Linked DNA regions of Sus scrofa. The protein of the gene in region 1 purifies or fractionates together with the protein of each later gene. This does not show direct contact. Links are inferred from orthologs where the notes say so. Each region holds a gene or a part of one and is shown on either strand. Other genes may lie near its edges. The genes, in order: UBXN2A and PPP1R11.

Evidence for each region.
Region 2: the proteins of UBXN2A (region 1) and PPP1R11 purify together in Homo sapiens (affinity purification with mass spectrometry; 3 studies listed by BioGRID and IntAct, counting the BioPlex papers as one, with this or other methods). This does not show direct contact. The link is inferred for Sus scrofa from reciprocal best matches to the Homo sapiens genes UBXN2A and PPP1R11.

Annotation. Positions count from the first base shown.
Region 1 is NC_010445.4:114,711,344-114,715,658, reverse strand, and holds the start of UBXN2A (UBX domain-containing protein 2A), read left to right. Parts: upstream 1-1,473; 5' UTR 1,474-1,742; intron 1,743-4,315. UniProt on the Homo sapiens protein: Acts to repress the ubiquitination and subsequent endoplasmic reticulum-associated degradation of CHRNA3 by the STUB1-VCP-UBXN2A complex in cortical neurons.
Region 2 is NC_010449.5:22,632,709-22,636,618, forward strand, and holds PPP1R11 (protein phosphatase 1 regulatory subunit 11), read left to right. Parts: upstream 1-1,365; coding exon 1,366-1,434; intron 1,435-1,514; exon of another isoform or gene 1,515-2,042; coding exon of another isoform or gene 2,043-2,084; intron 2,085-2,546; coding exon 2,547-2,655; intron 2,656-3,023; coding exon 3,024-3,226; downstream 3,227-3,910. UniProt on the Homo sapiens protein: Atypical E3 ubiquitin-protein ligase which ubiquitinates TLR2 at 'Lys-754' leading to its degradation by the proteasome.

The DNA.
Region 1 (4,315 bases):
AAGAATTTTGAGTCCAGAAATGAACTAATACATCTGCAGCCATTTGATTTTTGACAAGAATGCTCTCTTTATCAAATTGTGCCAGGACCAAAAAAAAAAAAAAAAAAAAGAGGAGGAGGAAGAGGCAACACTTAAAAGCCATCCATAGAAAAGTCTTTTGCCCTAAGGAATCAAACTCCTTATTGGGAGCTTCAATAGACAAGTTTCTAGAGAATTGGCTGAAAGTTGAACTCACCACAGGATTCCGGAATTGCACAACTGAAAGACAAGTTCCAAAGATTCACAGGGTGCCTTTACTTAGGTGGGAATGGCAGGGGTCCTTAGGTGAGGTCCAATATCAATTTGAATTCCAGCACTAAAAACTGTCAAGTAAGAACAAAAACTGATTTAGGCAAATTAAGAATATATTTGAAAGGATTATTCCAAGGAGGGTGGGGCGAGGGTGGGATGGGGGTGGGAAGAGACTATAAAAATACTGCTGGAGTACAATTACAATTGGGAGAATATCCAATTATACGCAAATAAATAAACTTTGGGTTTAGATAAAGACTTTATTGGATAGGATTATGCCGAAAAAAGGAAAAGGAAGTACTGCAATGGGGGGGGGTGAGGGACAAACCTTGTTAGAGGGGAGCTCTGTGACCATGACCCTGAGATCAGCAACTGTGGAAAAAACTGGGTGTGGTGCACAGTGGGACAGACAGGTGGAGATAGCAGTGATAACACAGACGATCAGTGTTTTGCATGGAACTCAGCCTATTTTAATGAGCGGTGGTGAAGGAGGGTTTGTATGCTGGATTAGGCTGAGGGTGGGTCAAAGTTTAGGAGCCTGGAGGAAGGAGAGAACCTTAACTTTGGTCAAATCCAGGGAGCCAGTGGGGGAAAAAATGTAATCGTAATGTATACATGTAAGGATAACCTGACCCCCTTGCTGTACAGTGGGAAAATAAAATAAAAAAAATTATTAAAAAAAAAAAATCCAGGGAGCCAGTATTTTGTCCAGACTGGTTAGTGAGTATAAGCAGTTCAGCTAATCCTTTGTGAAGCAAAAAGAATGGGGATTTGGAGGGTCTCTGTCAGGCCTCGTCCAAGGTAAACAAGGGGGTATCCGTGAGTCTTATCTAAATCACAACGGGGAAGGGAGGCTCCTCGCTGTCAAGCCTTTCAGGAACGTGGAAAGGTGGGGGGATTTCTTTAACCGTGGCTTTCCAGAATCACTGGACTCAGGGAAAGTTCAACATGGTCCGAATACAGAGAAATCTCTCCGCGGATTCAACCAGAAGCTGAAGAGGTAGACAGGTAAGTTGATGCTGAGTTCTCGGGTGAGCCCACGCCTAGCTCCCTGCATTTTCCGAGCAGGGTGAAGAGGCCACCACCAGCAGCGCCCGCAGCAAGGAGGCGGCCGCCATGAGGGCGGTAACGCTGAGGACCGACGCGGCCGCTGCCGCCGGCCCCGCCCCCCGCGCGCGCCCCCGCGGCCGGTGCGCGCGCCCGGGTCTGCGCAGCACCGGCCTCGGCGCGATCTCAGAGCTCAGCTGCCGGCTGCGGTGACCGTGGGAGGCAGGAGGGGGCCCAGCGGAGCGGCTGCCGAGCCTGAGAGGATCTGGGGGCGGCGGTGCTTCCTGTCTGAGTGGCTCCAGCCCAGCGGCAGGGGCGGCGGCGGCGCCCGCGGCCCCTGAGCGAATTGAGGAGGCCGCGAGGCGACGGCGCGGCGCGGCCCCCTCCAGCGGCCGCGCCCGGAGGTGAGTTTTCAGGGGCCGCGCCGCGTTCGGCCGGGTGAGGGGCGTAGGCGGGCGGGCGGGCGTTTCCCCAGCGGGGCGCCGGGGATCCTGGGGCCGCCCAAGCCGCGGGGCCCTTTCCTTGTCTCGGTTTCGGAGTCCGTGTCTGCGACCCCGAAAGGGCGGCCTGGGCGGGACTCCTGCCCAGCGCAGGTGAGGCGCGGCTCTGGGCCTGCGGTCTGCGCGTCTTCCCGAGCGGCCGACTGCGGGCAAGCGCAGCGCTTTGAAACTTCCAGTTCAGTTCTCAGAATGCAAACGCACAGTACAGAAATGCAAAGCGTGCCTGTTTGGGGCGAACATTCCTTAGGTAACCTCAATACGTGGCTCCCGCAACCTACGTTTTATGGTGTAGGCTTGCTCTTCGTTGTTTTCACATCTTTTTTTTTTTCCTATGTATCCATTTTTCTGGTTGTTTGAAGTTACTTGTTAGCAATAAGGGACGTTAGTGTGGCATCCAGCGTTGGTTACTCTGTACTTAATGTGAGATCATTGAAAATAAAACGTAGAAAATTGACAGTCTGTATTTATGTCGACGTGGAACTGTTACATATGACAGGTTGTGAACGACGTGAAAACCAGCTTCCTTGTTTCACAGTCGTGGCTTAAGTGTTCTGAGAGCTGTTCATAAGGTTTTTATTTATATTTTAGTTTAAATGTGAAAAACTCTTTAAAAAAAGTTGATCTTGTGACTTCTAAATATGTTGTAAGTCATTATTTTAAATTTAATTTTTTGGAGTAAAGTTAATTTACAATGTTGTATTAGTTTCAGGTGTACAGAACCAGTCATAGAAAAGTCCATTCTCTTTTCCTATATAGGTTATTTCAAACTATTGAGTAGATTTTCCTGTTCTACACAGTAGGTTCTCGTTAATGATGTGTTTTATACAGTACTATGTATCATGTAGATTTAGAAAGCAATTAAATCCGATGAATAAAGTTAGATCTAGGAATTGGTGAAATCCAAAAATGAGTAAGATTTGTGTGCAGGATGGAGAAAGTGATTAAGCACACAAATAATAATGATGCAAGACAGAATATGGTATTTGTTAATTATGTATTGAGCACTGACTCTTAACCTTGGCATGTGGTAAATACTATACATGTATACTTAATATTTAATGTTAATTACTTAGTTTTTCATTCATTTAGTACGTATTGTGTGTTGAGGTAAGAATATGTGGGTGATGATTATAGGTTTTGCCTTTAAGGACTCTACATTGTCATTGGAGGAAACAAGGTAAACAAATAATCCCACAAGTAAATGCCAGTCAACCTAGAGAGAAGGTAAAAAGGAAGAATGTAGGGTGTTATGAGAGTATGTAACCAGGGTACCTATCCCAGCTGAAGAAATCAGTTGTTTTTTCCTCGGAAAGGAATCTTTGAGCTTAGTTATTAAGGATAAGTAGGAATTGGGTGACTCCCAGAAAAGGTTCAGGCAAAGGAAATCAGTTCCACAGAGGCTTGGGAAGATTGGGGGAACTGAATGGCAAAGCAGTTGGATTGAGTGTAGAAAGCAAAAGGGGCCTGTAGTTAGGGCCAGAGAGATTATGTGCGTCCTTCATACAATGTTAAAGATTTGGGACCAGCTTTTTTTTTTTTTTTCCTCCCTTTTTTAAACTTTTATGGGGAAATTTTCAAACCACTCAAATGTAGTTAAGAGAACATTGCAGTGAACTCCCCTTTAATTTTATCCAGAGGATGTAGACCTTATTTGAAGAGTAATGGGAGGTCACTAAAGGGTTTTAAACAGGAAAGCCCCATAATCAAGTTTGTATCTTAATCAAAAAGGTCACCGTGACTCCTCTGCAAATTGGATGGGGACAAGAATGGATGTGGGGAAACGCCCTAGAGATGATAGTTGGGATTAGGATTGTGGCTATGAAGGTAGGGCAGATTTTTAAGAGTACGTACTTAATCTCTCCCTGCTGTGTTAGTAATTCTGTATTCATGCCTTTTGGAGGAATTGTGAAAGGTTTTCTAAAGCAGTATTTGAGATGGATTTTGCAAGGTAAATAGCATTTCATAATGGAACCCTGGAGTGAGCATGTCATGGTGTCAAAGGCTGGCTAGCTCAGCAATCTTGATTGTTTCTGCAGAAGTTTCCCCTTTCTCCTAAGATTTTTGCATTTAAAATACTTTTGTTACTCAGCCATAAAAAAAAATAAAATAAAATAATGCCATTTGCAGCAAGATGGATGTAACTAGAGACTCATACTAAGTCAGACAGAGAAAGACAAATACCGTATGATATCACTTATATCTGAAATCTAATATATGGCACAGATAAACCTTTCCACAGAAAAGAAGCTCATGGAGTTGGAGAACAGACATGTGGTTGCTGAAGGGGGAGGGGGAGGGAGTGGGATGGACTGTGAGTCTGGGGTTAATCAATGCAAACTATTGCATTTGGAGTGGATAAGCAATGAGATCCTGCTGAATAGCACAGGGAACTATATATCTAGTCACTTATGATGGAACATGATGGAGAGAAAGAATGTGAGAGAAAGAATGTATATTTTGTGGGGGGGTCACTTTGC
Region 2 (3,910 bases), on another chromosome or scaffold:
CACAACAGCTTAGAGGAATGAGCCGGGCAGTCCTCCACACTACGTTTAACCAGTTGTGGTAGCTGACTTTCCTGCCGTACTCCTGAAATCTAAAAAAAACCTGTTCCTGTTTCTACCCTACTTTAAACTTTTCCCTAGTCTATAACGCTGACTGGGTAAAGCCCCGGTTTCTTAGCAAAGCACACAGGGAGGGCCTCCCGTGTGGCCATGCCCACCCATCAGTTCTTGTCTGGCACGCCCCTCACGTCCCCACAGTACAAAAGTGAGTTTCCTTCCGTGCAAGCAACTACGACTTTGTAGGTTGTTTTCTTTACCTAAAAAACTCATTTGTCTTCTTGTTCTCTTTTTACCGCTCTTTTGCTCCCTGAGAAACATGCACATATTTTTTGTCTCATCATAAACTGGTCTGTATTACAATTTATGACCATTTCTGTGCTTAATCTTACTCATCTTCCCCCCCCCCAGGACAAATGTAGGCAGTAACTCAGTTTCATAGGTAAGTCTTACATTTATGTTAATAGTCCAGTGACTTACATTTTTGTTAGTATTTATGCCAGTCTTTCCCACTAGACCGGGAGCTAAAAGGCAGAATCTTGAGGGTTTTATGCTCCTCCATCTTCAAGTTCTGATAGTGACAGGAAAAAAAAATACAAGTTGAAGGGACATTAAGTGCCCTGCTCGAACACCTGCAGTCACAGGGCGAGGATTAAAACCCAGAGTCTTAATCAAGTGTGTTTCCAATTGCCCCTGGGTCCCCATTCTCTAGTTCCCAGACGAAACAATAAGGAAAGGAGGACAGGCATTGTCATTGCCCCTTGGTTTTCCTCGCCCTCCCACACACCCCAAGGGATATGGGGTTATGGGGGGTGATTGGGGGCTCAGCCACAGGATGTTTAAACCAGGTACAGCGTCCACTTTGTAGCTGCAAGTCATCGCTACCCTTGCCGTTCGCCGTGGTGCGGTGCAGGAACGGGTTCTTGCCGTTGATCGCCCCGCCCCTGCTCCCACACCTCAGGGACGCCTCTTCCGCCAAATTCGTGTCGCCTCCTTGCGGCGCCTGCGCACTGTCACATTACGGCGGAACTAATCCCGCGACCCTGCGCTCTGACGCCTTTAGTGCCAGGAAGGGAAAAGGGGGACCACAGAACGCGTCACACCCGGAAGCGGAGAGCCGGAAGTGGGGTTGGACAGGTTATCCCCAGGGGTGGGGCAGCGGAGGCCCAGGAGGAGGGGGAAAAAGAAGGTGGAGGAACCTGGCTACTAATCTGAATCCGATACGGATTCTCTTAGACCTCAGAGACACAGAAAAGAGAGAAGGGTGCCTCATCCCCCTTCCTCCCCTCCTTCCTCTCCTCAGCCTTAGCCATGGCGGAGGCAGGGGCCGGGCTGAGTGAGACCGTCACTGAGACAACGGTTACCGTGACAACCGAGCCCGTGAGAAAGGCGGGGGGCGGTGCTGTTTAGGGGTCGGGGAGCTACCGGGAGGGAAGGGATAGGGCTTTGGAGAGTTGCTGGAGGGGCTGGGCCTGGGGATGTGGGAGGAGTGGGGTTGTGAGAATCGCAAGGTATTGGGGATTTTTGGTGTGTCAGAGTTGGTGCAGAAGGCTGGTCGAGAAGCGTGTTATATATAGAGTTAGGATGTAGGTGATGCTGCTTGGGGGAGGGGGGCTTGTAGAAGTAAAGAAAGAACGGGAACTTGGAGATTACGGAGCAAGGGAGGTGCTGGGGGAAATGAAGGGCTGTGTAAGAAAGCATGGTTGGAGGCCAGCTGCAGGGGAACTTGACTGGAAGCATGCTTATGAATAAGTATTCGTTGAAGGGATGAATGCGAAAGGAAGCAAAAGAATGAGGGAACAAGAAAAGGGAGATGAAGATAGTATTTTGAGAAACCAGCGGAGATGTAAATAGAGAAAAATGTAGCATTTTTGCCAAAACAGGTTAAGTTGCTTTCATTGGGAAAAGATTGTATGGAACTTCATAACCCTTGAATTAAGGGAGTTTAGAGTAATAGTAATTGGAGCTGTCAGGATGGTGGAGAATAGATGGATAAGAGGTGGGGAGTGCTGGGCTTGAGGATGAGACAGGTGAGAACAGAGTTCTTTCTTTAATGGGAAAAAGAATAGGGGGTCTGGAAAAAGAAAGAGATCAAAGAGTAGGCATCGGTGACTGAGGAAATAATTTCCATGTGTTAATACCACCAAGGATGATTTGGGGAGGAAGATGGAGAAACAGCGAGGATTATATTTTCCTTTGAAGATTTGCTGGGACCTTCCCTAGGTTAGGAATTGTGTCTTCTCTGTATACTAGTGATTACCAAGAACAGGAGATAACATGTCACGATTCCTCTAGGGACACCCTGAGGTCCAAAACCTGTTCTATTTTATCTTCTCCCAGCCCTCAGCTCCTCTGGCCTTAGGTCCATGATCCTGACTGAGCTGGGAAAGGGAAGAGAGGAGCCCCCCCCCCCCAGCTCCCGCCCCGGGAGGTAGGGGGAAAGGTTAGTGGGAGGGGATTCGATAGGTAAGCCCATCCTTCTTACCTTCCAGGAGAACCGGAGCCTAACCATCAAACTTCGGAAACGGAAGCCAGAGAAAAAGGTAGAATGGACGAGTGACACTGTGGACAACGAACACATGGGGCGCCGCTCATCAAAATGTGAGTAATTGTTGGCCCACAGTAACCCTGGAGTCCTGGCTCCCCTGAGCATATCTTCTACCTTGTCACATCCACTGGCCTTCCTGAAGCCTGCAGGTGCTCACAATTCTGTCGTTGTCTGGGGGATTCTCTGGTGTCAGGGAGAGAAGGTTAGAGTTAGAGGGAAGGAGGTCAGGAGGGGCTTGAACTGGGATGTGCTAAGGCCTGAAGTCAGGACATATCTGAAATGGGAGAAATGGAGCTTTAGATTCCTGGCTGGAAAGGACGAGGGAGTTGGGTGCTTGAGTCCCAGGGTGTGAGCCAGGGCTGCTGGATCCTGGAAGGTAACTCTTCCTCCTTTTTAACTGGGCTCCTCCTTTCAAATCCAGGCTGCTGTATTTATGAGAAACCTCGGGCTTTTGGCGAGAGTTCCACGGAGAGTGATGAGGAGGAAGAGGAGGGCTGTGGTCATACACACTGTGTACGGGGCCACCGCAAAGGACGGCGTCGTGCAACCCCGGGACCAAGCCCCACCACCCCTCCGCAGCCTCCCGACCCCTCCCAGCCCCCTCCAGGGCCAATGCAGCACTAAATTCCTCTCTCCCCCACCATTCCTGTGTCTGTCTGGCCCTGAATGTATTCATGTGGCTCCTTGGGGACTAAACCCATGTTTGATCCCTTCTCCAGCCCCTTCCTCCCCTCTCCGGATAGAAGGAAACAGGAGAGGAGGGTGGACAGAGATCCCGGAATTCTGACTTGCTGCTATTCCAGAGCCCAGGCTTCTGGGTTCTCTGAGTCCTCATTTCTCTTCCCAGTACCCAGCTTCCTCTCTCCAGGGATCCAGGCATCTTGGTCCCAATCTCTTCCCTTTGTTCTCACTGCCAAACTGCCTGTCCTGGGATCCAGTTATCCTGGCCCCATGCACTCTCCACTTGAGTCCCAAACAGTTAAACTGGGTTTCCAACAGCCCCAGCTTTCACTGCCAGGGTCCTAGTCAGATTCCAGGCAACCTCGGCCCAGCTACGCTTGTTACCCCTGGCTTAGAGCTCTTCCACTGCTGTCTTTACATAATGCTAACTCTTAGTCCTGGCCTGTGGGATTGTGAGGTCTTATGAGAGACCTCAGGGCGCTCTTTCCTTCCTCTCCTGCCCACTCCCCTCATGCCCTTAAGAGAAGTTAGGAGGGAGAGAGGTCTTTGTCATGCTCACCTTTAATGGGTAATGGAGAAAAAAATTAAAAAAGTCATATCCTCTCTCCTCTTCCTTCTCACATGACC